Caenorhabditis elegans: one gene and its partners. The protein of the gene in region 3 interacts with the protein of the main gene of each other region in a pairwise test. Each region holds a gene or a part of one and is shown on either strand. Other genes may lie near its edges.

Region 1 (10,802 bases), on a different chromosome or scaffold from region 3:
TCTTGATCATTATCGGCAGAGGGGTCGGAAAAGTGACAGTGATGTAAATGAAAGGGGAAACAATTGCCATCTTCCTCCTCTTTCATCTATTTTAGGGGGTTTACTTAATATTTAGAAGAGAAAATCATGAACATAAAACACAGGAGGACAACAACTTTGTTCCAACACATCTGAAAGCCCATGGGAAAGGAAAAGAAGTAGAAGCAACGGTGATGACGAAGATGAAATTATTTTCTTCGCGTCTATCCTAGGGCCCGCCGCCGTCGCCGTCGCCCAGTGTGTAAAAAGGACATTGAGGGAGAAAAAGAGGGCGGAGCACACTTTGAAGAATGCCTCACATGGTGGTACCACACATTCAAAAGATGAATTGCTAAGAAACACTTCCGATTGAGTTTAGATTCTGTGGAACAAGTCTCAAAGTTTTCAGAAAAAAATGGAACTTCAAAGTTCTGGGGATTTAGAGAACTTTCGCACATTGGCATGTTAATCACTTGAGAAAAAGGATTAATCATAGAACTGAACTTTTCTGGATTTTTGTCACGATAGACATTGGAGATGAACAGAAGATGAATTTCAAGAAATTGTGAGAAAAAATTATGGATATCGAATAAAATGTCAGTTTTTTATTCGATTTTGAAAGTTTGAAACTGCAGTAATCTTTAAATGCACACACTTTTTGTATTTAACAAAATATTATCGTGTCGAGACCGGATACCGTATATGTGGCGCTGGGTTATGTAATGCTAGAAATAATATTTAGAAAAACAAAAACTCTACAAATATTTTGAGATCAGAATTCCATTAGAATATAAATAAAAATCTATTGTCAAAATTGTTTCAAAGAAAATTTGCAAAATGCACGATCTAGGTTATACATTTTGAGTGAGCAGGAACCCAGGTTTAAGATCAGAAAGATTATGACGCGGGTGGGTAGGTTCTGGATATTCAGATTCAGATCCAAATCTTGAAGAACGCCGCGCTGATTCATTGAGCTCCAGATATTTGTTTTTCTGACCTCCCTCAACCCAAAGATTTTCGAACAGAAGTCTGTCTATTTGTCCCTGTCAATCAATCATTTGTTTCTGTTATCTCTTCCGTCCTTTCTATTTCATTTTCATCCTATTTTTTGTCCTTTTTCTTTTGGTTTTCGTCGTCTTCTTACTTTCGCGAACTCGGTGGTGGCGCCGGCGCGACTAGGAGGACCGCCCGGAGCACATAGGCTCACGTCTTCTTAGCAGCTTTCGACTCACACGCACACACATAAGCAAAAAGAGCAAGTGCTGGGAAGAGGTGTCGGATTTTGATGAGCAACTTCCGATAAAGTGCATTTGAACTTTTTCTCAGAGAAATGATTAAAATACGCGATTAATGAGAAAAAATAGAGAAAATGAATGCACTTTAGGAGAGGATATCTAAGAAAAGTTTCAGAAATAGAAAAAGCACTTAAAAATCTCAAAACTTAAACTTTCTGCTGTTGGAAATTAATCAGTACATGCTAACTGGGTGGCGGTAAATTTTCGGAAACAAAAATGCTGCTCCTAAAATGCCAAAACGAGAAGAAAACTCTTGATAACATGAATTATTTGGATGCCAAATAATTAGTTTGAATTCGATAAGAAGATGGACCTACAGTAAGACACTGGTGGCCAATTTGTGTAAAAGCAGAACGTTTCGAAAAAAGGAGTAATTCTTGTTACACAGAAAATGCCTGCCTCCAGGCTTTGAAAATTAAATTAAAAAGGACACAATTCGATTGTGGCCGACTGAGACTCACCAGACAACTGCGATTCGATGATAATGCTCGTAGAGGACACCGACTGCTTTTGGTGAAAGGTTTTTCGAGCATTTGGAGAGCAATTCATCGATTTTCTGAAAACACTTTCATGGGAATTGATACATTAGTTATTTACCAATTGCGAATGTTCGTTAAAAAACTACTGTACCTGGTCTCAACAGGACAATTTTTGTTGAATGCCAAAAGGTCTGTGCCTTTAGAGAGTACTGTAATTTCCAACTTTTCGAACCTGTTGAATTTTCATTGCTTCGTAAAACATTTTTCTTTGAAATTTAATTATTTTGGAAATTAATTTAGTTTATTCGGAAATTACAGTACTCTTTGATGGCGCACGCCCCTTTGCATTAAAAAAACTTCGCAGTGAGACCAGATACAGTATTTTTAATGCCAAAATCACAAATTTTGAGTAAAATCTCACCTGAACAATTTCTATCACAGTTGTCTCATTTTTCGCATCAAACCCATAGCGTAGACGAAACTTAAATGGATTTGCAATTGTTTGATTTCCAGATGATTTTTCCGAAAATAAAGTCACTGCTGAATTGATCGGTTCATCATTTATCCATTTGAACAATATATTCCATTCTGCAGAAGCATTCTGAAAAAAAGTAGAAAGAATACAGTAACCTCTCCCGTTTTTTTTCTTCGAAAGACAATCATGGGAGACGAAAAGACGAAAAATGTTCCAAACAGTCTACACGCACTTAATCCTACTTTTCGCACTTTTTTCGTTGTCAAATCTTCTTTTGGAAAGAATTACCTTATTAGTTTCTTGTTCAAATCGTTCGAAACTCTTCTGCCAATTCGAAATTGTATAAAGTGTTCCAATACTTTCTGAAAAAGTAGAACAATTTATAGAATATTCAAATATTTAACTCTCACCAATGTCCTCACTGAACTGCTTCAGATTTTGGTTGACTATCTTCCAATTAGTAGAAAAATTGAAAATCTCGAACTCAATGAATATGTCGTCTTGCTTCGAACTATAAGAGCACAATTATATTTTTATACTAAAAATTAGACCATACTCTGTATGAAGTGTTTCTCTTTTAACTGGAATAAACAGCAATCCAATTGATATCACAATTAGAAGAATCGCAGGAATGCATAAAATCACACCGAGCTGGAAAAAATACATTCAAAAGATTTCGCAATTAAGAAAACCTACTGTTCTCAATTTCAGAATCCTAAGATATAATCCAATGATCTTTTCCCGGAATATTCTGGATGCTTGATGTGGATACTTCTGTAATTAATTTAACTACGAGAATGAATATGTTTCTTGTACAATGGTTTACCATGAAATTCGAAACATCGTAGGTACCGGGTGAAAGATCTTGGAGACAAGGTTTTTGATTTCTGATGATGCTTGATTTTTTGACAATATTAGCTTTGCTGAAAATATTAAAAATTTAGATTTTTTCGGTAATTTCATGGCAATTCTGATCACTCACTCTGTGTTAGAAACCGGTTTATTACCAGCAAACAGTTTTTCAAGGGAGCTTCCAGTAATACTTTCAGCCTGTTCTTCATTTTCCAGTCGTTGCTTTGCTTGCATTGCTTCACGCTCTAAAAATAGCATTTTCAGTTTTAAAATCTCGAACCTTAATTTTTAAATACCTTTCCAAAACATATTCTTAGCAAAAAGCTCTTCACCAGCAGCCAAACAAAATGATGGTAGAACAGAAACACAAATCTTGTCAAAATTAGAATCAATGAAATACCAATAGACGAAAACGATTGGAAATATCAGAATTGATGTGCAACCCCAATTCTTCGGGAACCTTTCAAATAATTCATTTGAATATGAGTCTTGGGCTGCTTGATACTTTGTTACAGTACTAAGGAAGTATTGTATTTGACGAGAATCAGTCATTGTGTCAACTGAAATTAGATATCAAATTTTAAATTTAAAAAAATACAAAAAAATTTTAAGGCATACCTGTAATAAGAGAAGCAAAATTTGAGTTTATGGGAAACCGTTTTTCTCGTTGAATACATCGGGATAGTCGTTCAGTACAGAATGAAGAACGAGTTGTGAAGTAGAGATTAGCCAATGTAAGGACAATTATATACTTCTGAAATATATCTTTATACATTTAACTATTATTTCATTTATAAGCTTACTATTAATTCCGTATCCAAAACGATAACTCCATCGGTACTGCAGACAAAACAGAAAAGTAAACACGTGAGAGCATCTCGAACAAAAAACATGAAAGCTGATCTGAGAGGAGCACCAGACCATACGAAGATTGTGAATAAGATCACAATTAATGAATGTACATTAACCACAAAATGTATTGTTTGTTTCTCCGAAAATGATTGAAGTTTCGTAGTTACAGTATTATCCAAAACTCGTGATGTAACTCTTATCATTTTGCTCATTCTATTCTCTTTGAACTTCTCAGTTTCTTCTTTCAAGGCTAATCGGAATTCATGAATAAGTTCTTCAGCTTTTTCAATAGTCCAAATTGATTCAAAACCATTCACAAAGTCTGAATGTTGCATAGCTGATAAGAGCATTTCAGGAGTTAACAGGACAATTTCCGTTTGCATTGTATCAAATTGAGATTTTGTACTACTGAAGCTTCTCGATCCGTCGAAAAATTCAATTCCAGTGCTATTCAAATCATGAAAAATCTTATCGCATGTTTGATTTACAACATTTGGATAATCTGGCTTTTCAGTTACATGAGAATACATTTTTCTGATCTCCAACTCCTGCATCCATTCAATGAACTGTTCTTGATCATCCACACAATCGAGATTCATTGCGAATTCTTCATCGACATCTTCTAATTTGAACTGCAATTTTTCTTTTTTTTTTCAGTAATTGCGTGGTTATGCATATATTAATACCTTTGTCTTCTTTTCAGCGAAATTATCAACAGACTGCATATCTGTACATATATTGAAGTAGTGTTCAGAGTCCAGAGGTGTGTCACAGGAATGAATTGAAGCTGCACATGTTTTTTGGCGTGGTTCTATGCTCTGAAGATTTTGTTGGTTGTTGAAAAAAGAAGATTATAATTAAATGTATTCCTACCAAAAGCCAAAGCTTAATCTTCTGAAATAATGCATCTTTAGTTGAGTTGGTGAATGACTTCGATGGTAAATCAAACATGTGATCGGCCCAACTTTTGATCAGGCTAGGTCCATCTAAATACATATTTATTTGTTTTTTTTTTAACATATTTTTATTTTGATTTATTACAATTTGATTTCACATACGGCCTCTCATCATTTTCTCCAATAGCTTCAATATAAGAATTTCTAAGTCTTCGATTCAAAAAGTCGGTATTCTTATTCCAATTACTGATTTCACCATGAATACGGTAGATATCATAGAAACAGTTTAGAGGTGTCACGATAAGACATGGTGACAGACGTTGCATTTCAAGAAGAAGCCTCTGAAATTACTATTTTAATGAAATTTTAATTTTCTAAAAGTCAAGAAAACCTGGATATAATGTGGATATTCGTTTTGATCGGATGAAGAGGATTGTTGGAATATTGTAATATGTGGTTTAAAGCAGACATCATTGAGTGTGTATGTTCTAAAATATGTTGGACGTTTTATGGAAGAGTACGAATGAAATAAACTCACTTTTGGCGAAATTTAATTTTCAAATTTGAAATGTTGTTCAGTAAGTATCCATGTTGAGTGAAATGTAACGTTGATCGCATATCTACTCCATTCTCCTGGGTTTGAGCGATTTTCTAGAAAATTTATATTTATATAGTTTGAAAATTTAAAAACATTTGTTTGTTCACAAAATCATGTCATACTTAGCTTAAAGTTAAAAATATTTAGACCTTGTCATCTAATTCAAATAGCCATTTTAAAATTTTAAAAACTTTCAGTATCTGAATTCCAAATTGAAAAGGTTATACCTCGATAATGTATTCTTCATTGTTCGTACGAGTTTCGAAGAATCCCTGGCTGACAAACGATGGAAATATTGATTTTTCTTGATAATCAATTGATTTTCCAAAACATTCCGCTAAGAGCAACCCGAATGTTACAAAGGTGACAATCACCACCGAAACGAGAAGTTTATTGTATTTCAATTTCATTGTTCCATTATTATCTGTTAGTAAAATAATATCGTAAATAAAAATATTACTCAAAATAATTTGTAGGGTTAGAGAACCTATCATTGGAGTGAAAGATAGAGGAAAACGAAAATTTCAAAAAAACTTAATCTTCAATAAATTTATCAGAAAACAAAAATAAAACAACCGCGTAAAAAAAAGAGAAAACACAAAAAGGCTCCAATTATTCCTAAAATTCCAAGATTGTTAATCATCGGTCCATTCTTCGTCTTCTCCATCTTCTACTACCTCGTTTTGAACTTTGCCTGAAAATCGTTGATTTATAAAGAAACACGAGAAATTAAAAAAAAAACAACACTAATGAAAACAACTAACCTTTAGCAGGTACCTTCTGATCCTTAGCAACAATGCAATTGGTGACGTCAGCATTCTCTCCGATTTCTACTCCATCACAAATAATAGAGTTGCTTATGGAGGCACTGGAATGGAAAAGTATAAATTCAAGTTTTAATTCAAGAAATCAGTAATTGTGATAACAGAAGAATTCTTAAATCGAAAGTTTTCATATGTTTGTCTATTTATTAAGAAAATATCTTTTCCGAAAGCTCATCCGAAACTTCTCGCGCTACGAAAATCCCAAAACTAACCCATTTCCAATGACAACGCCTTTGGCAATGATACTCTCTTTTAGCTTTGTTTTTTCACCAATCCGACAATTATCCGAGATGAAAGACCGTTTGATAACTGAATCCTTGTCAATCTGAATGGAAATGTTCCCTAACTATTTTTGAACAAGTATTACCTCTGCGCTTTCTTCGATCCGACTCTCGTGGGCAGCAATTTTATCAGTTTTGTAGTTGAAATTCTTCCCATTTCCGCGATATTCCATCAATCGAGTAAAAGATTTTTGAATCTAAAAAAACAATTTAAAGGCTATATGATAATGCATTATTAGCACTTACAGCTTTATTCACTTCGAAATAAGAGCCAAGAGTATTCGCATGTGCAGTTACAAATCCATTTTCATGAGGAAGACGATATGCAAAGCATTTGATATCAGAATCCGGTTCAAATTGTTTATCAATCAGAAGAGGCACAAAATCGGCTTTGAATGATGAAATGTGTCTAGAAATTATACATTTAGAGTAAAACACATTCAAAGAAACACTTACTTTGATTTTGACAGATTAAGAAGAACTTTATGACGTATAGCATAAACATGACAATCATTGTACTTTGAAGTTAATTTGATCGATGGGAATATTTTCAAACTTTTCTCCATAACCAATGGAGCATCAAAATCATCATCTCCGCAAAGGAATGCAAGTTGACCTGTCGATTCTACTATTGCCATTACATCGGTGGCTGTAAATTAATATTTTGATAAATTAGAGGAAGGTTGAAATAAATAATACCTTTAGGTTTTTTCGATTTTGATCCCGGAGCCGGAGCATTGACACACGTATCTGCAATAAGAGCGACAAGCGTGGAATTTGTAGCTCGGAAGAAATCAACAAGTGGAATGAGACTGGCATCGCTGATAAAATCACAGGAAACAATCAATGCATCTTTCTGTAAAAATTAGAATTATTAAGGTAACTTCTTTTTCAGCTGATTGACTTACCGTAATTTTAGAATGATGATTCTTCAATAGATCCGCGGTTCCAAAATCCTCTTGATTGACACAAATATATTCAATATGTGCTGGATACTTTTCTAATAGCTTCGACTTTTTTACTTCTTTTTCGAGAGTTAGTTGAAGAACTTCACGAACAAATATCTTGATATCTTAAAAGTTTAATTACTCAATCATATTTAACGATAAAAAATCAATGTTACCAGTAATTCCTGTTCTTAGAAGCGAGGAAAGTGGATAAAGGAACATTGGCACTCCGACAACAGGCAGTAGGCATTTTTGAACATGGCGTGTAAGGACAGGCATGCGTGTGCCACCTCCAGAACACAAAAGTATCCCTTGCATTTCGTGCATTTTTATCTGAAATTGTTATTTGAACGAAAAAAATATGTTTAAAATGTTAGGAAAAAAAAGAGAAAGCTTGCAACTCTGCTGGAATTGTTTTTTTGTTTAAAAAATAACTGTTGTATATTTACGGGCTAAACAACACGCGCATGCGTTATTACGGAGTGTCGTTAGCCAGATTTGTTGTATACTGTCGTTAGCAAGATTTGTTGTATATTATAAATTCTGCAGAATTCTGGAGGAAAGAAACGATAAGATGTGTATTTAGATCGGAAAGGAATTTATTTGAAGAAATATTGTTTATTAGAATGACAAATCGTAATTGAGTATCAATTAATTGAGCTCATTCTATTGTTTCTTTGGTCTCGACACGATTCCCGTGGTATCGACAAGTACAGTAGTGTTCTGTAAATATTAAAATGAAGAATGAAGTCAAGGGTGTTTTAAAATGAACCTCGTTGATGTTCAAAGAAGAACAAGAAGATCGGATTGTATCTTTTGTCACATCGAGTTTCGACTTCTTATTGTCATCAATGCGATAGTATCCGTAGATCTAAAAAATATAACTGGACGCTTGGAATCAGTGGGTCAACGTACTTTGTCGGTGGGTAGAATTTTCAGAACACGACGAGTTTCCCTGACCAGGTCTCCGAGCGTTCCTTCCCTAACGAACTCCATTGGCATTCCTCCATCGTCGTCATCACACTGGCCAATCTAAAATTTCCTTCCCTATTTTCAGATTCACTAAACTTTAATATTTTTCAGGGCCGCGCGCACGCAGCCCCGATACGCAAAAATTAAGCTGTTGGCGAATCTCAACTCGAGACTGCCACACAGGTCAGCCCGCCCAAAAGTGCAATGGGTAGGCCTCACCATGGGGATCCCGTCTTCATGATCACGAGATACCCCCAGCCAGGTAAGTTTATGAGCTATAGTGAAGGGGGGCCTATGCTTATTTGTGTTCGGACATCTCGCGGGTTTCGCAGCTGCCCATCTTTCTCGTGCAAGTAGGCGGGGTTGTGGCAGAGAACGAGACGACCACCCTAGTAAATACGAGAAATATATTTACTTGCCTTGAGTGAAAACTTTTGACCATTCATTGTGTTTAGATCTCCATGGATTATGTTCTGAAAAATTGTAACTTTGTCTAAATTAATTCCCCTATAACCACGATGCGAGATTTTTGCGCTAAAGTATAGTACCCGGTCTTGACACGACAAGTTTCTGTGGATACTGTAATTTCAAACTTCTGTTTTTGCGGAGTTTTTAATTGATTTATTGATTCCATAGTTTTCTCTCACTATTCGTTAAAATTTATGTGTTTTAATTAATATCATATTTGTTTTTTAAAATAACATTAATACCGTTATCAAAAAACTATGACAAAGACGTCTTTAAAGACCGGTAAGAAAAATAATTCGAAAGTTTAAGACTACAGTACTCTTCAAAAACGCACGGCTTTTTCCATTAACGGAAAAGCCATTCTACAAAATTCATCGTGCCAAGACCGTGCACCGTATGTTTGGCGCAAAATTTCTCGTCCAGCTCCAGTACACCTACCGTTACAATGTCATCCTTCAAAGTTTGCATCGAAAATTTTGCCTGAAGAGTGAACTTGGAGAAAAACGCCTTCTTCTCTGGAAACTGAGCATCCAACGCCAAAACGCTTTCACATCGATACGGAATTGCACATGTTTTAACAGGACAAGCCGGTGACTTTCCATTTTTCTCACATTCGTCAAGCATTGATCCGATGCATTTAATACATACATCATGGTCACACTCCAATTCAGAAGGGAAGTTTCGAAGAACTTCACCCTCACAGTGTAGTGATCCCATACATGGTTGTCGGGTCTGAACTAATTGACGTGTGTAATTAAATGAGCCGAAAAACTATACCGCATCTGCCGACTTTCTCCTTTTCGCTGACTCTTTGTTGACACACTTGCCGAGTTCACAAAAATCCCGTCCATTCGTCCATTTCGGACCACACACATCACACATTCTTGCCTGGAAATGTTTTGATTTTATTCCTTATAATTAAGAATTAAAATTACCCCGCAACATGGAATGACGATTGTCTTATCAAATACGAGTGCCTTCTTGCATGGTCCTTCACATATCATGTCTTCTTCATCGATCATCAATTCAGCACAACCAAGAGCAGGGCAACAAGATTTCTCTCTGAAAGTGGAAATTGAATTATGAAGCTTTTAACATTCAAATTTCTAACTTTCTGCTTGCCAAATCATAACAGTGCTGACATATGTCGTGATGGCATGCTGTTCTCAGAATTTCAGCATTTCCCATGATCTTTCGCTGGCAGTTTTCTCCCTGCAAAACTCAATTTTCCATAGTTTTTCATATTATTAACCCGCAAAATTTTCGATTTTTGTGCTAAAAATTACGGTAGCCGGTCTCGACACGATTAATTTTGTTAAATGCAATTCAAAAGGGTGTGCGCCTTTAAAGAGTAATTTTAAACTTTCGTTTCTTGGGAATTTTGATCAATTTTTCATAGTTTTTCTCACAATTTGAATCCATTTTTTATCGGAAACAATTGAAAAATATTTCGATTCAAATTCCGTGGCAACGAGAGTTCACAAGACTACAGTACCCTTCAAAGACGCGCACCAACTTGAAATTAACGAAATTGCCGTTTCGAGACCGTATCTTTGGCGGAAAAGTCATAAAAGTTCGAATCTTTGTAATTACTAACTTCGCAAGTGCTTGTCATTGGTTCAGGAGCTGTAAGACTCGAGTAACAATGTGCAACTGGACAGACACGCATCTTTTTGGTTGATTTTTTGAGGCATTTTGTGCAGAATGTGTGCAAACAGGGAATCAACTGGAAAATTTGAATCCGTATGGCTGAGAATAATGCAATAATCTCACTTGAGTTGCTTCTTCACATGGTTTTAAATCATTGCAAACTGCACACCAAATTGACATCTTTGGATAACTTGA
Region 2 (11,110 bases), on a different chromosome or scaffold from region 3:
ATCAAAAACTATGAATCAAAAATACATTCCGCAAAACTTTAGTGGAAAAAATGTTCAGGAGACCCAGGAAACCACTCCCCCCAGTACTAAATTTTTGAATTATTTTTTTCTTGAAAAATTTTCCCACTGAACTTTTTACAAATTTTATATGTCTCGATGCGTCTTGATGAGACCTACACGTCATTTTTTAGAAAACTAAGAAAAATTGAAAACTGACCGAGTTATGATTGAAAAAGTAGATTCGCAAAAATGGCAAAGTGTGCAAAATTTGGCACTTATTCGTCTTGCTCGGCCGACTCATAGAACTTTTTCCAATTCTGAGTTAAAAATCGTGTTCAGCGTACTTTTGTACGTGGGGTAAACAAAAAAAATATCAAAAAAGATGAAGTAGAACTTGAGATAAAGACGAAAAACTACTTTTTCGGAAAAAAATTTTTTTTTGGCAAAATGTCATTTTTTGGCCATTTGTTTTATCACAACTTTTTTCCATTTGCACTTATAATCTCAAACTTTTTTTCAAAAAATCCACCTCTCTGAGTAGTATCTTGCACATAAATTTGGAACAAAACCGAGCAAAACCCGAATTTTAATTCAATTAAAACATGGTTTTTTGGGGGTAAAAAGAACAACAAAAATTTTTTTCAAACTGGGGAAAGCCGCCCTGAGCTCAGTTTTGCTCCAAACTTTGTGCAGTTTTTTGCTCCACCGTGGGGCAAAATATTTCTAGTAAGCTGTCAAATATTATAAAATTCAGTCAAACGGCTCTGGAGTTATTAATGAAAACGTAGTGTGACATTTTTTCGCAAGCCAAAAAAAACGCGAAAAAACGCGAAAAAGGGGCGGAGTCTGTACACTCGGCATTTATTAGAGGCTGCTTGGCAGAATTTCTAAACAAAAACCTTTAAAAAATCAATATTACATTCCAACTAACCCGTATCTTGTGATTCATTGAGGCTTCGGTCTGCTTCTCCCTCTCAATTCTAGCCAAACATGTTTTCATAGCCTTGCATTCAGCGAATATACTTTTCATAGTGTCTTTCATGGCGAATCTTGCGTAGGATTCGAACGTGTCGAATATATTCTCCCCAACACGGATCTGGAAAGCTACAAAAAATTCGAAGACAAAAAACTATTTTTTTCTTTTAATTCGACACTTAACTGATGAAGGAGGGCGTTGTCAGAGTCCCATTTCGGTTTGATCTACGCAGATCTACAAAAATGCGGGAGTTGAGACGCAGAGTTCTAAAATGATTTCGCATGGTCAGGAACGTGCTGACGTCACATTTTTCTGGGCGAAAAATTCCCGCATTTTTTGTAGATCAAACCGTAATGGGACAGCCTGGCACCATGTGTGGTAGGCTTGGTGTAGGCATAGCATTAAAATCATAAAAAATCATCTCACCTCGGTAATCTCATCCAAGTCATTGTAGTCGAACTCTACACCCATAAATTTGCACAAATGCTTCTTGGTAACCGAATTTTGGAGCAAACGATACTCTCGCCGTCCCAGAATACTTGTAACCAATCCCATCGCAGAAAATCGAGTGAAAATGAGAAAAAAAAAGTGAAGTCGACCAAATTTTATATGCGCCTCTAATTGTTTTTCTCAGAATTTGGCAGGGGGTGTCGTATATGAATTTGGATACTGTACAAAATTGGGTGAAAAATTATAAATATGCCGTTTTTGTGCATCTTCTAATTGTTATTGTCTACATGACTAGAAATTGTGATGAATAGAAAAAAAAGGGAACAATTTAATAATAATTCAGATTTTTAAAGGGTTATATGTATATCTTCCTAATAGTAAGTTCATTTTAATATATCATTTTTATAAATTAAAGTTATTCGACGCAAAAAACGGCGAAAATCGAGGCTTAAACTGCAAAAACAATTATTCGAAATGCTCTGTGACGTCACAAAATTTCAAAAAATATTTTCACGCTTTTCTGGCGCAGTAGAGCGATGGGACAGTCTGGCGCCACATGTCGGTGAACATTGGGTTACTGTAGCTCCAAAAGTATGTAAGTACTGTGGCAACACCAAATTTGACGACAAAATGCTGAAAATTTGTAAAATCACCAATGACGCTAAATTAGAATTTCGTATCGAAAATTTAAAAAAAATCAAATTTTGTAAAATTCCACCATAAAAAAAAATTAAATTCAAAATTTTTTGGACCAAATCTTTTTTCCTTAAAACGCGCCCAAACCTGGCTAAACTGCAATTATCAGTAGAGCGCGTTTACACTGATGTACCCTTTGCCGGGCCGTGTTTCAGCTAAATTCTGCTTTCTTTGTTAATAGAGCGCATTTGCTGTAAGCGGGAAATTTGAAATTCCCTCTTGAAAATATGACTTTTTTAATCATTTTTTCGCGGTGTTTTCGAGCTTTTCTTTCGAAAAATCCCGGATTTTCAATTGAAAAGGAGATTTTCTACTGAAAATGACTGGTATACTCCGATTTTTTACATTTTTCACGAGTTGAAAAGTTTACAGTCATTTATGAAAATTCAGTGTTCAAAAAGTGTCTCAAAAACCTATTCAGCTACTCAATATCCCAGTAATTCCACGTCATTATACAATTTATATCATAAAATAAATTCAAATCAAATATATGTTCAAGTGGAGGAGGAGAAGGAAAGTACTCGGATTTTTGGTGGGATGCCAACTGGTTGGAAACGTATGTAAATGTGAAATGCTACAGGAACACCGAGAACAAAATATGTGTGTGGGTCACGGAAAGCTGCTAGATAACGGGGAGAAATGACGACGATATGGTGAATAGGAGAGAGAAAATTGGAATACCCAAAAAACAAATAGACACAGGAAAACAGGGGAAAATTTGATAAAATCGACCGAAAATTAGGAAAAAAAACGACAAAAATTTGAGAAAATCAACCGAAGTTTAGCAAGAATTTTCCCAATTTTCAGGCAAAATTTCCACCGAAAAGCAGTTATTCCTCATCAGTGACATCGGAATCTTCATCGTCTGATTCATGTTTCATAAGCTTCCACACATCCTGCGGTGGACGCAAAAAGCCAATCACAACAGACACGTTGTCGGCACTTCCAGCCTCAATCGCTTTTGTACAGATGAAACGGGAGAGCTCCGCGTAGTCTGAAAAAATTTTTTTTCGATTTTTAAAGAATTTTCTACATTAAAAAATAAAGTAACGTCGGCTAATGTTTTTTACCTTAAAAATAATTTTGAATGGTTTTTTTAAAAATTGATTTTTTCAAATTTTAGTAAATTACCCGATTTTCTTTTTTAAAAATACAATAATTCGAAAATCTTTACTTTTTTTTTTGAAAACCCCCGAAAAATAGCCAATCTTCTGATTTTTTTTCAGAAAAAAAAAACGAAAAAATAGTTTTTGGCTTTGGAAATTTAGTTTTTCTCCAAGAATTTTTATTAACCTTCAACAGGATAATCATTCGCAAATGCCTCCACCAACTGGTACAGGTCACGCTCGTTGAAAACATCAGAAATTCCATCACAAGCCAGGAGCACCAGATAATCCGAGCTTTCAATAGGCACCTGACACGTTTCCGGTTCATTAGAGATCATCGGCCGTCCAGGAACATCTCCGAGTGCTCGGGTGAGATTTAGAACTCCGTTCACCCGCAATTCGCCTCCAATCACAAAAAGCTGGCCGCCAGCTTCCTCAACACGCCGAGCTTCCCGTTCATCGGATGGCGAGTGTCCACGTGTCAACTGACGGAATTCAATGTTCGACATGACGTATCCGGGTGAGTCACCGAGCCACGCCAGCGCCATAAGCTTCTGATCCATGTCGATTGCACAGCAGACAGCTGTACTTCCACCCTTCCAACACTCTTTCACACTTCTGACAGTCATTCGTTCGTCGAGAAGCTCCAGCGACTTGCGAAGCTGATCTTCGAGGCTATCTGAAGGATCTCGCGATTTTCGAACCTCCAACCATGTCTCCCAAAGGTGCCCGGCTGCGTACTGAGAGCACTCGTGACCACCGTGACCATCGAACACCGCTAACACCGAAATTGGATCCTAAAAATTTCATTTTTCAGTAATTTTCCAGGCCTAAAATCCTCCTAAACCTCTCCACGATCCATATATTGCCCATTAGGATACGCCAAAAACCGATCTTCTTGCTTGTGACGTTGCCCTTTCAGTTGATCGCCCGACACGTGGATTCCAGACCACTTTTCAGACAGAATCGGGCACGTTTCGGCGTTTTGCTGGAGAATCTTGTCGATCGCCGGCCAAATTTTGTCGTTGAATAGCTTTTTGGCTTCTGAAAATAAGTTGTATTGATGAACAGAAGTGTTGAGTTTTTGAAGATTTTTTAAAAATTCTATTTAACAAGTTTTATTTTTGCAAAAATTAGCAGATCAATGGGGAATGGCCAGCTAAAAATATTTAGCAGACCAATGAGGATAGGTCTGCTAAATATTTAGCAGACTCATGGTAGGTATGCTAAATATTTAGCAGACCCATAGGTGGTCTGCTAAATAATTAGCAGACCCATAGTTGGTCTGCTAAATAATTAGCAGACCAATGGGGATGGGTCTGCTAAATATTTAGCAGACCCAAGTTAGGTATGCTAAATATTTAGCAGACCAATGGGGATAGGCCTGCTGAATATTTAGCAGGCCCATGCTTGGTCTGCTAAATTAATAGCAGATTTTGCACATTTAATAATTACCTGTGGTACTATCGGTAACATAAATATCAGGATTATACTGAACATCTCTGAACGCAACTTCACTGAATTTCTCGTCAATTTCTGTGGCGATCAAGTGAGACACCCAGTGACAAAAGTCGACCGCCTGGCCTCTTTTCATCATTTTCTGGAAAATGTCGTGAATCGCGTCTCCGAAAACATCATGAACTGGTCCGGCGATTGGTGGATGACGGAAACGTATTGGAATATGCGGTTGTGGAGTGTCGGCAACCTCGACGTCATAGCTAGTTTTCTCCATTTCATCTGCAAATGCCTCCTCCAGAAGTGACCGGACACTTCGACGGCGATCGCCGATGTGATCCTGGAATATACATTTTTCTAACTAGCATTAAATATATAAAATCCCGTTTTCTACCTCGAAAACCGCATCCCGCTCCTCGTTTACTTTTTCCATGTATTTTTCCAGTTTTAAAACCACTACCGGCTTCGGTGGGACAGCTGGGTTGATCTGACATTTCAATAATTGTTTTTAACATAAAAATCAGAGAAAAACCGAGAAAAAACAATGGATTTCAACACAAAATGAGGAAAAATCAACAAAAAAATAATGCAGAATTTTCTGCACCAGAAACGCGCAAAGCTTCTCGTTTGCGCACTTTCGGTGCGTTGGCGCGTTTCTCGCGCGAAATATTAATTTAATTCGCATTGTATTGTATTAATAACATTTTTATCAAATCAAAAATGGATCAAAAATTTAAAATAAAAATCAATTATTCATATATATCCATGCGCGCCAAGATAATCCCACTCCACATTCGGCGTCTGTACTTGGCTGTCCAAAAGATCCCATTCCTTCACTTTCGCCCTCTCCGCCCAATTACATGCTTCATATTTGTGGATATATGTCTCCTTGAAATGCTCCCATAGCTCATTTGCCACGCGATACTGAAACTCCACGTGGCATCGGAATTCAGCGGGGTCGGCTCTAAGCTTGGGTAGCGAGTTGTAAGCTTGAACTGCGGCATTTTTTCTCAACTGGGCGTACTTATCGATTTTCCACGTGGTTAGTAAGAAGAAGTCCTTGTAAAGAATAAGAAGAGTATCGATGATTTCACCGGTTTCCTGGAAAAATCGCAGATTTTTCTTGAGTTAACTCAAACGCCATTGAAGGCCGCCTACCTCATCCTCAGCACCCAAATTCTGAAGTTCCCTGCATTTTCTCCGAATCTCGTACAACGTTTTTTTATACTTGTCGCGAACCTCGTTGTTCTCTACTTCAATGACTCGTTGTCCGGCGGGAAGCTGAATTCATTAATTCAGTTCTTGATAAATGTAATTTTGAAAAAAATATGTTTAAAAAACCTCGGCAACGTCAATTCTACCGTTATTCGAGAGGGTGATCGGTGTGCGCTTGTAGATTTCCTAAAAATTTATAAATTTGAGAAAATCCGTGCCCGTGATTAAGAATATTCTCACCTCAAAAATATCCGGTTTTTTGATAATCTCGTTACTTTTCGAGTAAAGTACACAGGGGCGTTCAACATTTTCCTCCTCGGGATTCACAGAGATTTTGACCTGAAAATTTCTTGAGCTTAGGTATAGGCATACGTTTAGGTATTGTCAAAGGCATAGACTTAGAAATTGGCATAGACTTAGGCGTAGGCTTTGGCTGAGGCCTAGGCTGAGTCTTAGGCTTTGGCTGAGTCTTAGGCTTAGGTGTGAGCTTAGTCTTAGGCTAACCTTTAGGCTTAAGCTTAGGTGTAGGCTTAGGTTTAGGCCTAGGCTTATGCGTAGGCTTAGGCTTGTGTCTCCAGGCATAGGCTTAGGTTTAGACTTAAGCTTAGATTTGTTTTTTTTTTCGAAGGTTTCTCAGCAAAAAAGATTGAAAACATAAGACTCTGAAAAAAAAACGAAAAATATTACCTTTGGGTCCCGTTCAGCAATACGTGGGCTCTCTTTCACCGCAACTGGGCCTGCCAGCTGATAGACGCTGGAAATATTATCTGTAGCTGAATCTACAGTGCACAGGGTTCCAAGACATTGCCCCATTATCGGTTGTGACAGGGAAATAGAGGATTACTTGGCGAAGGCTCAACTTGGTAGGCCGCCTAATTTACAGTACCCCACGACTGCCTTGTTTTCGACTAGTCCGGGTTATTTTTAAATTTTGTTGGAAAAACAACAAGAAAATTGTACAATTTCATGAATTTCGCTGGCCTGGTGAGTACTGTAAATTATGCAAAGTGATGGAAAATAAATATTGAACGAATTTTTTTCGAGCCGGGGAAACTTAGAGAATTAGTTTTCTAGCCTTCAAATCATGTTCCTGGGGTTTTTTTCCAAATTGTTTTTCTCAAAAATTTGTAAGATTAACACTTTTCATTTAAAAGCAATAATGATTTCTGAAAACCTGACACAAAAAGTTTTTGGTAACTGGGAAAAAACATGGGAACGTTGATGATAACAATTTGAGATCCAAAAAGAATTCTCGGGTGTGTGGAGGGGAAAAAAAGAAAAACACTCAAAAATGTCTGCACATTTTGAGTGCAAAAGAGCAAAAAAGCAACAAAAAAATAAAATTTTTAACATGAAATTTAAGAAATCTGCAATTCTCCTTCGACGACATCCTTCAAGCTGAGAATCTCCAATCTTCCGTGTCCCTTCGTCTCATTTCGGACCAAATCGTCCAAAGCTCTGAACGATCCGGGCTCAATGAGCCCAACCATCTCGAGGCTTCCATCCTGCCAATCGTCAACTTCCACGTCACTGAATAGGGTTTTAAGCTTCGTGTGCACGGATTTCGCTTCTTTTGTCGGAATCGCCACACGGATCTTCATCTTGGCTCGTTCGATTTTCAGAGTTTCACGAAGTTTTGGAATTGCGTCGAGAGCCTGCTGCTTTGAGGAACGATTCGGTTTCAGGGAAAAGTGCATTTCTTGTAGAGCTTTATCGATTACTGACGGTGGAACTGGACGCTTCGTTTCAGGATTTACGACCATTGAGGCAATCAGCTGGGATACCTGGAAAATTGAGATTTTTCAGGATTTTTTTGAAGAAAAATTAAAAATTTTCAGGAACTTGTTTGGGAGAAAATTAAGATTTTTTAGGAATTTTTAGAAAAAATTGGGATTTTTCAGGAATTTTTTTGGAGGAAAATTGAAATTTTTTAGGAATTTTTTAGGAATTTTTTAGAGGAAAATTGAGATTTTTCAGGAATTTTTTTGGATGAAAATTCACATTTTTCAAGAATTTTTTTATATAAAAATTGAGATTTTTAAAGGATTTTTTTTTTGGAGGAAAATTAAGATTTATCAGGAATTTTTTTTGAAGGAAAATTGAGATTTTTCAGGAATTTTTTGGATGAAAAATTACATTTTTCAGGAATTTTTTTGACGAAAATTGAGATTTTTCAGGATTTTTTTTGAAGAAAAATTGAGATTTTTCAGGATTTTTTTTGGAGGAAAATTTACATTTTTCAGGAGAAAAAAACTACCTAATTTTTTAAAAATTTAAAGAAAAAAACAGGTTTTTAGCCTGGAATCTAAAATTTTTTCATTTTTTGCTACGTGGCAAGTTGTACCTCTTTCAGCGATTGATCTGAAGCCGCCTGACGCTCTTTTTCCGACACTTGCAAGTCTCCTTTGTCGAGAATCTGAAATTTAGGAAATATTGTCTTTTTCTACCTATTTTGAATAAATTTATTCAACTTTTTAGATGACAAATAACACTAATTACACCAAATTTTAGGCCAAAATGTTTTTTAATCTGAAAAAAAAACTTTAAAATTTCTTTTTTTCCAGAAAATCCAAGTTTTCCTTACAATTTTACAAATTTCCAACTGATCCTCGATTCCAAAAGCGGCGATAAGCTCCTCTTTCTTGGAAAGTTGTCCTTTTGAGACATTTGAGAAGACTGTATGGGTTTGGAGCACCTCGTCAATGTCTTTTTCGCTGAAAATTTTTTTAGATTTTTGGGAAATTGTTTAAATTGATTTTTGATATGGTAAATATTAATTCCAAAAAATAATATTTGAACAAAATTATTCAAAAGGTTAATTTAGAAACAACTGTTTTTTTATTTATCACTGAGAAAATGGTTTGAGAATTAAAATTTTCAGATTTCTATATGATTTTTTTAAAAATTAATATATATTTTACCTCTTATTTCTCCAATTAACAACTTTATTCTTGTAACAAGCGATTTCAAATCGTTTTCCGGTTTTCTTCATTCGAACCACTGCCACATTGGTCAGAACTTTCTGATTTGTCGGCGTTTTGATATTTTTTGACATTTTTTTTCGGCTGAAATTTTAAGAGATTTTGGCATTTTTAATTTTAAAACAAAAGAGACCATTTTGAGATATAAAAATAGATTTGAAACTACTTTTTTTTCAAATGTCGAAAAAAAATTTTAATCTAAATTTTCATTTTAACGGAGAATCTGAATTTTTTTAAACTTTAAAGTCGATAAATCAAATAAAAAAGAGATAAAACCAGTCGTTGAGGTGAGAAGAATGGGTGTTTTTCGGGGTCGTAGCGTCGAAAAAACGAAAAATCGGATTCGAATTTAGTTAAAATTGGGTCTAAATGACTGAAAATTCGGTATATAAGAATAATTGGAAAATTTTCGATAAAATTCAAATTTTCTGAGATTCAAAAAAATTCGAAAAAGCTCACATTAGTTTCAGAAATGAGAATTTTCATGTTTTTTTTCGGAAAAGTAGATATATTTTTCAAAATTTTAAAGAATTTCAGTATATTTGATATTTTCCGAATAATTTTCAAGCCAATTTTCAGTCATTTAAGCCTGGTAGACTAGATTCGATTTGAAAAAAAAAAAAACTAAAAACCCTGAATAAAGCATTGGGGGAAGTGGTGGTGGTGATGACAATCGGGAAATATATACAAAAATAGACAGAAATACGGAAAAATCAGGTCAAATGGAAGAACAAAAAAAGTACAAATTTGTTTGGAAACAGTGGGCGAAAATGCGAAATTTTTCGAAAAATGTGCAAAATTTCGCAATTTCCGGATGGGGACTAATCGGGAAGATTTAAGGCGGGTTTAGGCAAAGTTTTCAATTCGAGCACATATTCGGTCAGGCGGTCTGAGGGCTCCGTTGGGCGCCGAGCCAGGGACCAGTGGAGGCCCAATTTGTGATAAAGGCTAACATTCTCGTGGTCCAGACATTTTTCCAGCGCTAAGACGGTCTGAAAATTGGGGAATTTAAGAGAAAATTTAACTGAAAACTGGGCTGTGTCGATTTACGGGGATTTTATCTAGATTTTTTCAGTTCTTTTGGTTAAAAAAAAAAATTACAGGCTTTTCACGGCACAATTTTTCTAGATTTTTCGAGTTTCTGGCGGTTTCTTTCCACATTTTTAGTGGTTTTCAGTTGGTTTTCTTACCTTAAATCAAAGTGTTTCAAACATTTCAAACTAAACAGTTCATAACTGCCATTGCCTGCTAAATATTTAGCAGACCAACTGTGGGTCTGCTAAATATTTAGCAGACCAACTATGGGTCTGCTAAATATTAAGCAGACCCATTCAAAGTGTCTCAAACCACTTTTCAGATGAATTTTATTGGAAAATCGGCGAAAAAATCCTCGTAAATCAACACGGAGCCGAATTATCTCGCCTAATTTTTCGAATTCTTACCCTCCGATTCAGACATAACACCGGCCACATTGAGCATCCAATTGAGCAACAGCAAAACGCTAATCCACATAAAAGCCAGCGCGATGACGTTTGTACGTGGCGTTTGAGCACAGAATTTACGCGAGACAGTGTCGCCGAGAGTTCTTCTGGAGCAATATATCCGGTTAGTTCGGGCGGATATTCCGTGTTGAAACGGGAATTCATGCCAAATCTGAAGGAAAATTCGATGATTTTTTTTGATAAATATAGCTTTTTTTCTCTTAAAAACCACCTACACTGTGATATTTCCAACTCCACGAATCACGACGGGTTCCTTCTCCTTTGGAATGTATATTGGCTCGGATTCCTCGTCACTACTCGGCATCACGTCTATTTCTGGCTCTTCGCCGTCACTGGAAACCGACGCCGATGGGGCTGGTGAGCCATGTGACATTTTTTATGAATTTTCTCTGGAAAAATGTAGGATATTTTAGGGGTTTGGTGTTAATTTTGATGTGAGGAAGCGGCTGAAGTTGAAAATGTTTTAGAAAATTCATAAAAAATGAGAAAAATGCCGGAAAATTAACAGTGAGCCGTCTGGAAAATAGAGAAAAAAGAAAATCAATAGAAATTGAGAACTCAAGGAGACCACGCTCTCTCTGGGTAAAAGGTTGTTTGCAGAACGCATGTTTCCGAATGTCACAGTATAAACGCGAGGTTTTTTAGTTGAACACCTAGTAAAAGTGTTATAAAATGTAAGATTTTATTAAATGAAAATAAATTATTTACTTTGTAACAAGAAAATCTAAA
Region 3 (11,198 bases):
GAAAATACTATGATTTAAAGTTTTGGCAACTTAACAAATTTTTGAAATTTGGAGTTTTCTGATCGCCCTTACATTACCTTACACTCTAATCTACACTGGAAAATTATTTTAAAAATAATTTAAAATAAACTTCGTTTAAACGTCTTTTTTTTTAGTTTTTCAAAAATTTCAAAGTATTGAGTATTCATAGTTCGTACTTTTGACTTATAATAAAATGTATTTTTAATATTCCAAAGGTGTTTTCTTTGATATTCTTGCTATAAATTTCCCCACTGTCGCTACTCCAAATCTAATGTGAACAGTACACATGCTAAAGTAGAAAAATAAAAACCATTTCAAGAAAGTTCAAAATCTCATCAAAACTCAAAAAAAAGGATCGCTCGAGTGTATTTTGATGATTGATTATGGGTCAAGTGGATTTCTCGGCGGAAACGAAGAAAGAGTGGAACAGGATGATGAAAATAAATTTGCAAAGAAAAAATAGAGAGACAGAGCTCTGTTTTTGCAAACAATTTGAATGATTTCACTATAAATTTGTAGTTTTTAAATGAAAGAACAAGAGTAAGCAATGAAGAAGAAGCATAATAATCACATTTGAAACGGAAAGAAAACAGTTTTATGGGCACCATCAAATGACAAAAGAGATAAATAAATGAACGTTCGCATCCCTAATTGGCACTTCTTTTCAGTGTGTGTTTGATCACGTACCGCCTAAAAACGATTGAAATGGGCATTTCCATTTGACTGACGAAGGGATGATATGGGAACTAATATATTTCTATCGACACCTCCTTTTTTGGTTTGATTCATTTTAATGTTTTTTAAAAATAATTTTGAACAAATATAATAATGAAATTACTTTGTTTACGAGGAGATTTTAGCTTTACCGTTTGTTCGCCGTTCAATATGATTTCTTTTTAAATACACGAAACACGGGTGTTCTAGCTTTTGATGTTTTTATTAGGTACAAAATTATAAGTTATGAAAACATGAGAACAAACAAGTAAAATTTGGATTAAATTAAATTATTAGGCTTTTGACATATACACATCGAGCTCCGCATCCAACTCTTCGAGTGTCTTCTTTGGTTGAGCTTCTCTCTTTGGCTTCTTGGCCTTCAATTTCTTTTGAGCTCCAGCCCCTCCTGTTGGTTTTCCTGATTTAACATTCTGCCTTTTTGGTGCTCTTTGAGCTGGTCTTCCATTTGATGGAGCTCTTCTTGGAGCTTCTGGGAACTTGACACGGTTTGCAATATTTGCTGAATCAATGATAGCGAATTTGATCTCCTTTCCGTCGAGTGAGACTCCGGCAAACTTTTGGATGAGACGATCAGCGTGACGTTTTGGGAGAGTCACATCTCCGGTTCCTACTGGTTTTCCGTGCTCGTTGAAGTTCACGGAGACGTTTCGAATTTTGAATTCAGCGAAGAGTTGACGAAGGTCCCCGGAGTGAACGGTGTGGGCCAAGTTTGACAAGTTGATACGTACTTCACGGTTTTCTGGAAATGTTAACCATAACTTAAGAGCAAAATGGCATTTATAACTTACCATTTGCTGGAATAGATCTGTCAACTGTTCTGATTCCTCCACTTTGGCGTCTTGGTTGCGCAGTTGGTCTTCTTGATGGTCCAGCAGTTCCAGTGGAGAATCTCTTTTTAACTCCACCAACTGATGCTCTTTTGATTGGACTTTTCTTTGTTCTTCTGATTCCAGCGGAAAGTGGAGCATCGATAGCAATAGCACGAGCCATTTTGATAGAAGTTCTCTGAAATTTGATTCATAAATAATTGATTGAAGGCAATGAATGTAGAAAGCTGAGATGTAACATTGAAAGAGGGTGAGCAAATGGCAATAAGAGAACTAATATAGTCAATTGACTATTGTTGTACATAAATTAAAATAATGAAATGGAAAAGAGACCAAGTCGGCGGAATGAATGATTGACTCTGTGTGGGATATTCTCTGAGAATGGGGAAATAGGTAAACGCAGCGTTTGGAAGTGAAGACTTTTCAATCGATAGACTAGGTGGATGGAGTATCTGGAGATGGCTACTTGGAACTTCGGAGAAGATGGGAAAGGTCGTTTATCAAATTGGCAGAGATAGTATTATTTTAATTAGAATAGGTAGGTGACATCAAAAAATAAAACACAGAAATTACCAATTTGGGGGAGTTGTTGAAGATTGATTATTAAATTCGTAGTTTCTTTATAAAGTGCTCGATTCTTATCAAGAGGAACTTGGACATCAAAATTTAAAGATTGTAAATTATAAAGTTTAGAAAAATCTAGCCTGTATAATTTTTCTTAGTTTAGCAAAGCTTTAAAAATATATACAAAAGATTGGTAAAATGCGACTTACTTTAGAACTACAGAGAATTTCATATAACTATAATACATTGGAAAAGCAAAAAAAACCATAAATAAATGAAATATGTTATGACCATCTCGGTAAATGAATGATAGAATGAATTAATGCATATAGATCGAGCATCCATTAAAAACAGATCGTTGTTAAAAAGGCGGGACTGGTGCTGTGGAGGAAAGGGTGACGATCTTGGGATTGTTAAGAAAGTTGGCAGATGATGTATCGAATGGGAAAATACGAGTTTTCTAGCACACGCGAATATGTGTAATGTATATCAGTTGAATAGAAATTCAAATTATATTCATGTGGAATTGTATCGATATGTATCCTTTTCAGCATGACTTTTGTACTTTTTTATTCAGAATGACAAAAAAATATTAAAAATTGAAGGAAAGATGCTACATTATGAAATTGATGGTTATATTGGAAAAATATAACTTTCGAAATATTTTACCAATTGAGTCGTAGTAGACTAATTGCCAAATAGTGGGTTTTTTGTAGTTCGGCTTCTAGCAATGAGCAATAAACGTTAAATCAACTGAAAATTACACAAAAACTCGTAAAAGCAACTGGAACTCTTAGTGTTTCATTCGAAATGTTTCGAATGCCACACCCGTACACATTTGAATGAGTGTAAACCAACTGCGCACTCAACAGATGCTATTGTTTGTCTACCAGAGCGCACTTGCGTAGCGTCTAACCAATTGTAAGCAGCTTAATCGATATTATCTATACCTTTATTTTAAATTAAACAAATCTTAAAACAAATTAAAGTGATATGGAACCAGCTTTTTTTAGCAGTGTACCATTATGACATTTTTCAAAATGTAAACCAGAGGATTCGAAAGTGAATGACACAAGAAGCGTTAGTGAGATAGAAGGCAAATCGGTGATATTAAATAGGAAATCTGGGTAAAATATAGAGAGTTAGACTTTCAAATGAAATAATATTAAAATTAAAAGCAAATCATTATAACAATTGATATCATCGTTTCCTGGAGCAATCAGTAGCATAAACATTCATAATCCGAACATCATCAGAATAATGAACTTCATAGAAACGATTTTGATATTCTTCAATATCTTTTTTTCTTTTAATTGTTTCATAATAACCAGATACATCTAGAGGTGAGTAGCGAGAGATTTCAAACGGCGAAATTTGTAACTGTAGACGGGAAATTGAGAAATCATCAATTGCCAAGTCGAATATGATGTCTTCTGAAATTAGAACAAAACATAGTTGTGAAAGAAATTTTTTAATCGAAAAAGTTTCAGAATGGACTCTTTTTAAATGTGGAGAATTTAGTAATACCGAAAACGTGATTTTTTAAAAATTTTTGCTAACATCCGGGTTTGAATTCAATACAAAAAAATGCCAAAATCGAAAAAGCATGTTTTCAAACGATGGATTTTTTATGTCGATTTTTTGTCTTTCTGTTGTAGAATTTAGAAATTTGCGACTATGAAAACAAAAATTCCCTTTACGCTATTCGACTTTTGATGATTTTTTAAAGTTTCGCTTTAAAAAAATTGTGTTTTATATTTTGAAAAACATGTCATGTATATACTTTTAAATTATTTTAACAATAAATTCCTACCAACATTCTCCATGGCTAAACGATAGTGCTCAATACGTGGAAGCCCTCCAAATCCAGTTATGTCGCACCAAATCGTTGTGTGATATACAATCTACAAATGTAAAATAGTTTTTAACGCTTAAAAGCTTTAAATTAATATATGAGTACATAAATAACATTTTTAAAATGCTTACTTCCAAAATGCAGAGCTTCGCAAGCCAATCCAAAACCGTAATAATCTCATTTTCCAGTGGTGGCATTCCAAGTGCTTCATGAAATCTTCGAGCATAAAACTTTGAGAACTCTGTGCCACGTGGAACCACAAACGTAGTATGATACTTGGATTCATCTTCGTTCCAAAAATATTCGGGTGGATAAAAAGCGGCGATATTTTGAACAAGGCGTTGACCACGGGTAGCAGCGTAATTATACATTTGGGAATTGTTCCAAAACTGTGGCATTCCCGGAATATTGAAATAGAGTGTATGAAGAAGAGACGTGTAGTGATTGGAAAAGGCCGTACAATTCGGATCCGGATTGGGCTGGAATTAGGATTTTAAAAAAAGTAAAATACAAACGGAAATGCGCCGTTGAAGAGTACTGGAATTTCAAGATTTTGTTTTTGTTAAATTTTCACCGGTTTTTACATGTTTTCCTGATTTCTTAAAATCCCTGTTTTTTTTTGGTAATTGCGTAATTTTAGTTTTTTAATTAAAACAATTTTCCGAAAAACTAAGAAAATTCCGCAGCGACGAAAGTTTAAAATTACAGTACTTATTAAAGGCACACACCCGTTTTTATTTAACTAAAAATTGTCGTGTCGAGTCGGATATCCCTTTTTTGGTTCAAAAATCGAAAAAAAAATCGGGTAAGTAGAGCTTGTTTTAATTTATGATAAAACAAGGAAACTCACTAAAAATTGTCGAAAATACATGTAAAACCGAAATTCATCGCGATGAATCAAATCTTGCAACTCGAATCGAGTTATTTGACTGAAAATTAAAATTTTATTTTATAAAATTTCAGATTCGCCTCACACTTTCCCGTTCCGCCTTGCCAAATCATACATAAAATTGCAATAAGTTACAATTGTCTTCATTGTTCTTTGAAAAACGAATCGAGTAATTTCATCATTCCTTTCATATCCAGCACCGGCTGTTATTAATTGAATTGAAGTAATTTCAAGAAATCGATCAATTGAAAATTCATCCCAAGGATTTTGATCGAGAAGACTATCATCATAATACGTAGCTCCTGTCAATCGTTGTCTTTGTAAAGGAATTCCAGATATTAAAGGCCAATTGAGATCATCTACTGTTAAATTAGTCACTCCACAGTACTCGTCGAATCTTCTCATTTGTGCACGGAATTTGACATTTCTTCTGAAAACCTAGTTTTTGATCATTTTAGTTTGACTGGATGTGAATTAAAGAATTTAAAACAATTTCAACAAAAAAAAACATTAAAAAATTTAACTTACTTTAATTTTAGTTTCTGAGCTCTCGTTTCTCTGTCAGCTTCTACATCATCTGAACCCGGATCCACCTCCATTACAGTTACAATTGAAATAAATGGAAATCTCTCTTATTTTTACATTGAAATTTCTTGCTGGTCACTTCTTCCAATCCACCGTAGTTAACCGACTGGGTGGTCTACTACCCGTTTCTGGTTTTCTCTGCACTCTCTTCGGAGAGAGTGCAGACAAAATTCTCCGCGTTCGCAGTCCTGGTTCTGTTTCGAGACGTTGACGTCGCCCGACACCACTCCTACAACTGTTCGGACAGCGTCTGCAATTTTCGATTAGTAATATAGTTTTGGTTGTGAATATAATATAAATTGTGAAAAATTGCATTGAGAATTAGGAAAAGAGCATGTGAGAAGAGGAGGGGAATTTTTAGAATAACTGAGAATATAATTTAGAGAAACACGATTACTTCGCATCAATTCAGAATATCTTTTAAAATCTGAGAAATTTTGGTTAAAAAATAACACAGGGCGCTTAGTTTGTGGTTTTCTCAATTCTGTTTAATTTTTAAAACAGTAATTCTTATTTCGATAAACTAAAATGAATATGAAATTTTCTTACGATTAAAAAATGCATGAAACCAGATATAACAAATTGAAGGAAAACTGAAAAACTTCAGAAAGTGTTTTTTTCTGAAAATAAAAGCAGAAAAATTCGAAGCTCGCGCAAAGAACGTAAACGCGCTCCATTGCTAACTCATTTGAACATTAGTTTTTTTCATTGGGCTTTCAATCTTGTAAGTGATGTTTAGGCATCTAAAAGTTTTATAAATTGACAAAATCCAGCTTAAAAGATGCTATCAAAAACTAACTTTTCAGAATATTTATTTGGCTAATGTTTGACCCATACGTTTTTTGCCGAAAAGAATTTCAAAAATGAAAAGTATCTTGAAATGCATCAAAATCCGGGAATATTGCCGATGGTCAGTTTTTCAGCATTTCTAAATTGAGAGACTGAAATGGGAATTTATTTATTTTTATTCATCTGCTTTTTTATTTCATGAATATCCGCATCTGAAATCAGCTTTTTTTTTCAGGAAAATTGATTGAAAGAAGACAATAACAGCTCGTTGTTCAACATCTCGATTCTTCCATATGAATCGATGAATGGAAAAACCGTGGCATTTGGTAAAGTTTTGGCTGGAACCGAAGTTGTCTCCCGCATCGCCTTCAATAAATCAAACACGAAGGGTTCCAAGGCTTGCGTCATCACCGACTGTGGAGAAGTTATCTGAAAGGTTTTATCATAGATTTTCAAATTTTTTGGTTTATTATTATTTCTTTCTTTTTGTTCCGATAAGTCCATATATGAAATTTGTCCAGTTTTTATGAAAATAAACATTTATTTTATTTAATATTTTTTTATTCATCATATGCATGGGGGTTATCATCCTCGCTGTACTTCTGGCTTCGGCGACGGTGATCGCTTGGCTGCTCTACAAACACTTGAGAATGCGTCAAGCTTTGAAGGTTTGATTTCAAAATAAATTTATGAATAACTTCAATAAATTTTCAGCATCTCAATCAGCCACGATCATACCCAATCATCGGTCACGGACTCATCACCAAGCCAGATCCAGAGGGATTCATGAACCAAGTGATTGGAATGGGATATTTATATCCAGATCCACGAATGTGTCTTCTGTGGATTGGTCCATTCCCATGCCTGATGCTCTACTCTGGCGACCTTGTTGAAGCAATTTTCTCGTCGACGAAACATCTGAACAGGGTTCGCATACGTTTTGCTTGAACCATGGCTTGGAATCAGTATTTTGACGAGCCAGAAAGAACAATGGCGTCTTTTTTTGATTTTCTTTTATTGAAGATTTTGGTTCAGAAATTGTGTTGCCTTGGTGCAGAGTGAGAATTTCAATTTATAATTACTTATTTCAAATGTTTATTTTCAGTGAAAGAGTTGATGTTCTCTCCGTTATCGCCCTTTGTACTCTTGATATCATCTGCGAAACTTCCATGGGAATAGCTATCGGCGCTCAACTCGCTGAGGTTTGGGAAAACAACTCTAATCTCAACATTTCTAAATACTTTTTCAGAATAACGAGTATGTATGGGCAGTGCACACAATCAATAAACTGATTTCAAAGCGAACAAATAATCCTTTGATGTGGAATTCATTTATTTACAATTTGTACGGTAGTTTTATCATTAATAAGGTCAATTAATTTGTATTTTTAGAACAGAGGACGGACGGACGCATGAAAAATGTCTTCATATTTTCCATGATTTTACGAAGAAATTGATTGGCGAGAGAAAATAAGCACTACAGGAGAATGATTATAAGATGGAAGGTCGTCTCGCATTCCTGGATCTTCTTCTCGAAATGGTAAACAGTGGACAAATGGACGAAACAGATGTTCAAGCAGAAGGTAACACATTCATGTTAGAGGGTCACGATACAACATCTACAGGATTAATGTGGGCAGTTCATCTTCTGGGAAATCATCCCGACGTTCAGAGAAAAGTTCAAGCGGAACTGGATGAAGTAATGGGCGACGATGAAGATGTGACTATTGAACATCTCTCCAGAATGAAATATCTTGAATGTGCATTGAAAGAAGCTCTGCGTCTCTTTCCATCTGTTTTAATTATTACGAGAGAACTGAGTGATGATCAAGTAATTGGAGGCTTTAATATTCCAAAAGGAGTCACTTTTCTGCTCAACCTGTACCTTGTTCACCGCGATCCTGCTCAATGGAAGGATCCTGATGTTTTCGATCCGGATCGTTTCCATCCTGAAAACTCAATTGGTCGAAAATCATTCGCCTTTATCCCATTCTCAGCTGGAAGCCGTAATTGCATCGGTCAACGTTTTGCACTTATGGAAGAGAAGGTCATCATGGCTCATTTGTTGAGAAATTTCAATATAAAAGCTGTCGAGTTGATGCACGAGGTGAAAATTGAAAGCGCCGCTGATTGGGGAGACTTGCATTTTTTGTATGATTAAGCAATTTAAGCTGTATCCAATATATTGAAAATTATCGCGATGTCTATTTTCTCGCTGAAATGTTTCATTTTGCAATTTTAAATTGCTCTCATAAATAGGCACTATTGAAAATAGAATATAGAAAGTTTTACTTTTTATTTTGAATTTAAAAAATGTTTCTTCTAATGTAAAATTTTTTTCAGTCACAACAAAAGTAAACTTTTTCATATTACGTTTTTTTTTTGAAAGAAATTGTTAATTGCAAAATGAGAAAATTCTAGCGAAGAAATAGATAAATTACAATAGTTTTCAATTTTTTGGATAAAAAAAGCTTAATTAGCCTTTTTTATCCCCATTGGGGATTCCCCAATCGACGGTACTTTGAAAATATAACATGTAAAAATTAAATTTTAACTAAAATTGTTCAGGTCCGTCCAAAAATGGAGATCATCGTTCGCCCGGTCACTCCAATCCACATGAAGCTCACCAGACGCCGTCCCATCGCCTCTCCATGATTTCGAAATAATTTGGAAATTTGAAAATAGCCAGTTTTATAGTATTATTCGAGATTATGTTTTTATTGCATGATAAATTGGAAATTGCTTTTTTCAAGAGAAATCATCAACATGCAAAGGAAATGATCCATCCGGGTCATGAAGTATTATTCAAGTAAATAACATTTTTGAAAACTAAAATTTTTTACAAAACATTTATTACAAAAATTGGACTAATCAAAACGGTAGACATTAATGAGGTAATCATGCATTCCATCCGGCAATTCAATACAAACTTCGAACATCTTCAATTCATTTCTTTTCATCGGAATGTTCATATTCCAACCAAAAAATGAACCAGTCAATGTAACGGAATCTACAGTAGTCGGTTTTTCGTCTGTCCAACGGAACAACACCTTCTGTTGTCCACCTTTGACAAGGATGCTTCCACTGCATTCATTTTCAGATTCAGCAAATAAATGTGAATCTGGAAAAAAGACAATGAATCAAAAGCAAATTGTCTAAACCGTTCTATGGTGAAAAAAAGAACTGACCATCAATAACAATATCAGCATCTTGCTCATTTCCAACAGTCTGCTTTGCTCCTAGGTTTGGCTCACAGTGAGATGATGTTTCCGAGGCTTCTTGAACATCAGTCTCAATAAACGATGGTTCAATTTCAGCTAAACTAGACATGAGACTTTCTGTAACCATTGACATTTCCGAAAGATTCTCATCGGAAGTGGCTTCCAAAATATTAGAATCTCCAAGTTGGGCTTGGATAATCTAAAAAATCACGTCTCTGCATCAAAAAGTGAAAATGAATAACGAACATCTTGAATTTTCCCAAAAAAATCATTCGAAATACCGTGAAGATCCATTCCAGAGTCTTGCGGAGAAATGGCATCACATGCACCAGCATCCGTTCTATCTTCATCAAGATTTCTGCATCCAGCAATCTAAATTTAAACTCAGAAATGTATTTATAATTTAAAATATTGTGAATACCTGTTTCAAAACCCGTTCATTAATTTGATCACATTCCGAGTGTGAAGAGTTTGGAGCATTTGCAATATTCGAATCATCAGATCCAGTTGATTTACGATTCGATGGTTGAGTACTGTCAGTGTGGACATTTGGAGATGGTGCCATGGTTCTGAAGTTGAGAATTTCAAGGATTATTTGAAACTAAAACATATTAAAATATACAATACATAAAGCCTGTTGAAAAAGACAAACTTACGGTCGAATATTAAAATTGGAAGAAGCATCAAATTGAACTTCATCAAGTGTCATTGTCTGTGGACTCTTTTTAGTTTCTTTTTTAATTTTTTCCTTTCCACTTTCTTTCACTTTTTTGTCTTTTTCTAAACTTCCATTTATCTTTTTTCCTTTCTCTCCAATACAATGATCTCTATCCAATAAAATATCTTCTTCCGAATTCAAATTCGGCACGGCTACAGTACCCTCTGGAATAGTTTTTGGAATAACTGGTCGAATGAACACACAATTGACTGGCTCATTCATCGGAACTTTTTGACGAATCACATCCGGAGTTTTTGGAGTTTGAGGCGAAGATTTCTTGGATCCCATGTTTGTTGGTGATAGACATCTTGGAGTGGATACAGTACTCTGTTGCGGATCTTGGAGCATTGAAAGCATGAGTTTTCGAATTGAACGGTATCCAGCTTCAAGTGTGTAATAGAGACTCATAACTACAATGAGAACTGCAATTATTCTGAAAATTTTCAAGAATGGATAATTGATTGATCATGTAATAACTCACATTCCAACCATCGAATACCATGGTCGCTCCTCACTTCGCTCATACACGACAATGTGCGGAGCATCAGCAAAATGAAACATTTCAGAAATTCTGTAAAGATTCAAAATACGGATCAGTTCTCAAAAAGCAATTCAAAATAATACAGAGATATTACAGAAATTTTCGGATTTTCCACAAAAGTACGGTAGCCGGTCTCGACGCGACAAAATTTTGCTAACAACAGTAAGTTCAAGAGGAGTGTGCCTTTAAAGATAAGAGTACTGTAATTATTCGTCTAATTGCATATGAAAAATTAATAAAAGACGCAGCAACGAAGATCGGAAATTACAGTAATCTTTAAAGGTGCACATTATTTTGCCTCAAACATAAATGTGGTCGTGTCGAGACCGAGTACCGTTTTTGTGGAATGATATTTGCAAAATTTGGCATCTAGGTAATATTTTAATCGCAGATCACGAAAACTGACCTAGTTTTGAATGTTTTCTTCGCATAAGTGCATCCGAGAATCCAC

The links.
Region 1: the proteins of fem-3 (region 3) and tra-2 interact in binary tests that used the Caenorhabditis elegans proteins (3 or more experiments, as listed by UniProt).
Region 2: the proteins of fem-3 (region 3) and fem-2 interact in a two-hybrid assay, tested with the Caenorhabditis elegans proteins (2 studies listed by BioGRID).

Annotation. Positions count from the first base shown.
Region 1 is NC_003280.10:6,959,799-6,970,600, forward strand, and holds the start of tra-2 (Sex-determining transformer protein 2), read right to left. Parts: upstream 5,876-10,802; coding exon 5,693-5,875; intron 5,519-5,692; coding exon 5,406-5,518; intron 5,356-5,405; coding exon 5,259-5,355; intron 5,209-5,258; coding exon 5,013-5,208; intron 4,958-5,012; coding exon 4,845-4,957; intron 4,790-4,844; coding exon 4,658-4,789; intron 4,604-4,657; coding exon 3,923-4,603; intron 3,874-3,922; coding exon 3,738-3,873; intron 3,680-3,737; coding exon 3,416-3,679; intron 3,365-3,415; coding exon 3,250-3,364; intron 3,191-3,249; coding exon 3,094-3,190; intron 3,042-3,093; coding exon 2,964-3,041; intron 2,919-2,963; coding exon 2,824-2,918; intron 2,779-2,823; coding exon 2,678-2,778; intron 2,630-2,677; coding exon 2,556-2,629; intron 2,394-2,555; coding exon 2,214-2,393; intron 1,870-2,213; coding exon 1,775-1,869; intron 1-1,774. Other genes in the region: eif-2Bgamma (Translation initiation factor eIF2B subunit gamma), read right to left, coding at 6,101-6,159, 6,230-6,333, 6,502-6,614, 6,657-6,767, 6,817-6,979, 7,027-7,219, 7,270-7,426, 7,479-7,642 and 1 more; C15F1.5 (RING-type domain-containing protein), read right to left, coding at 8,184-8,240, 8,290-8,388, 8,433-8,549, 8,909-8,962, 9,396-9,689, 9,735-9,845, 9,893-10,019, 10,069-10,169 and 2 more. UniProt on the Caenorhabditis elegans protein: Plays a major role in controlling sexual cell fates.
Region 2 is NC_003281.10:629,457-640,566, forward strand, and holds fem-2 (Protein phosphatase fem-2), read right to left. Parts: upstream 5,171-11,110; 5' UTR 5,117-5,170; coding exon 5,078-5,116; intron 5,024-5,077; coding exon 4,684-5,023; intron 4,273-4,683; coding exon 4,076-4,272; intron 4,026-4,075; coding exon 3,416-4,025; intron 3,117-3,415; coding exon 2,953-3,116; 3' UTR 2,563-2,952; downstream 1-2,562. Other genes in the region: T19C3.6 (uncharacterized protein), read right to left, coding at 932-1,096, 1,403-1,531; eakr-4 (EAK-4 Related), read right to left, coding at 5,437-5,784, 5,842-5,964, 6,025-6,084, 6,139-6,237, 6,586-6,711; sbds-1 (Ribosome maturation protein SBDS), read right to left, coding at 7,257-7,682, 8,243-8,314, 8,483-8,612, 8,820-8,953; tag-266 (Golgin subfamily A member 7/ERF4 domain-containing protein), read right to left, coding at 9,701-9,871, 10,322-10,532, 10,597-10,754. UniProt on the Caenorhabditis elegans protein: Dephosphorylates auto-phosphorylated Ca(2+)/calmodulin-dependent protein kinase unc-43/CAMKII in vitro. Involved in the regulation of sex determination.
Region 3 is NC_003282.8:9,099,497-9,110,694, reverse strand, and holds fem-3 (Sex-determination protein fem-3), read right to left. Parts: upstream 5,730-11,198; 5' UTR 5,494-5,729; coding exon 5,423-5,493; intron 5,333-5,422; exon of another isoform or gene 5,325-5,332; coding exon 4,980-5,324; intron 4,935-4,979; coding exon 4,856-4,934; intron 4,485-4,855; coding exon 4,137-4,484; intron 4,055-4,136; coding exon 3,964-4,054; intron 3,584-3,963; coding exon 3,351-3,583; 3' UTR 3,088-3,350; downstream 1-3,087. Other genes in the region: aly-1 (Chromatin target of PRMT1 protein C-terminal domain-containing protein), read right to left, coding at 1,029-1,498, 1,548-1,749; C01F6.14 (Ovule protein), read left to right, coding at 6,574-6,798; gldi-10 (AMP-activated protein kinase glycogen-binding domain-containing protein), read right to left, coding at 9,135-9,388, 9,456-9,687, 9,735-9,860, 9,910-10,057, 10,145-10,639, 10,688-10,777, 11,154-11,198. UniProt on the Caenorhabditis elegans protein: Required for male development. In XO (male) animals, fem-3 directs male differentiation in all tissues. In XX (hermaphrodite) animals, it specifies the first 80 or so germ cells to be sperm. Negatively regulates male development when bound to tra-2.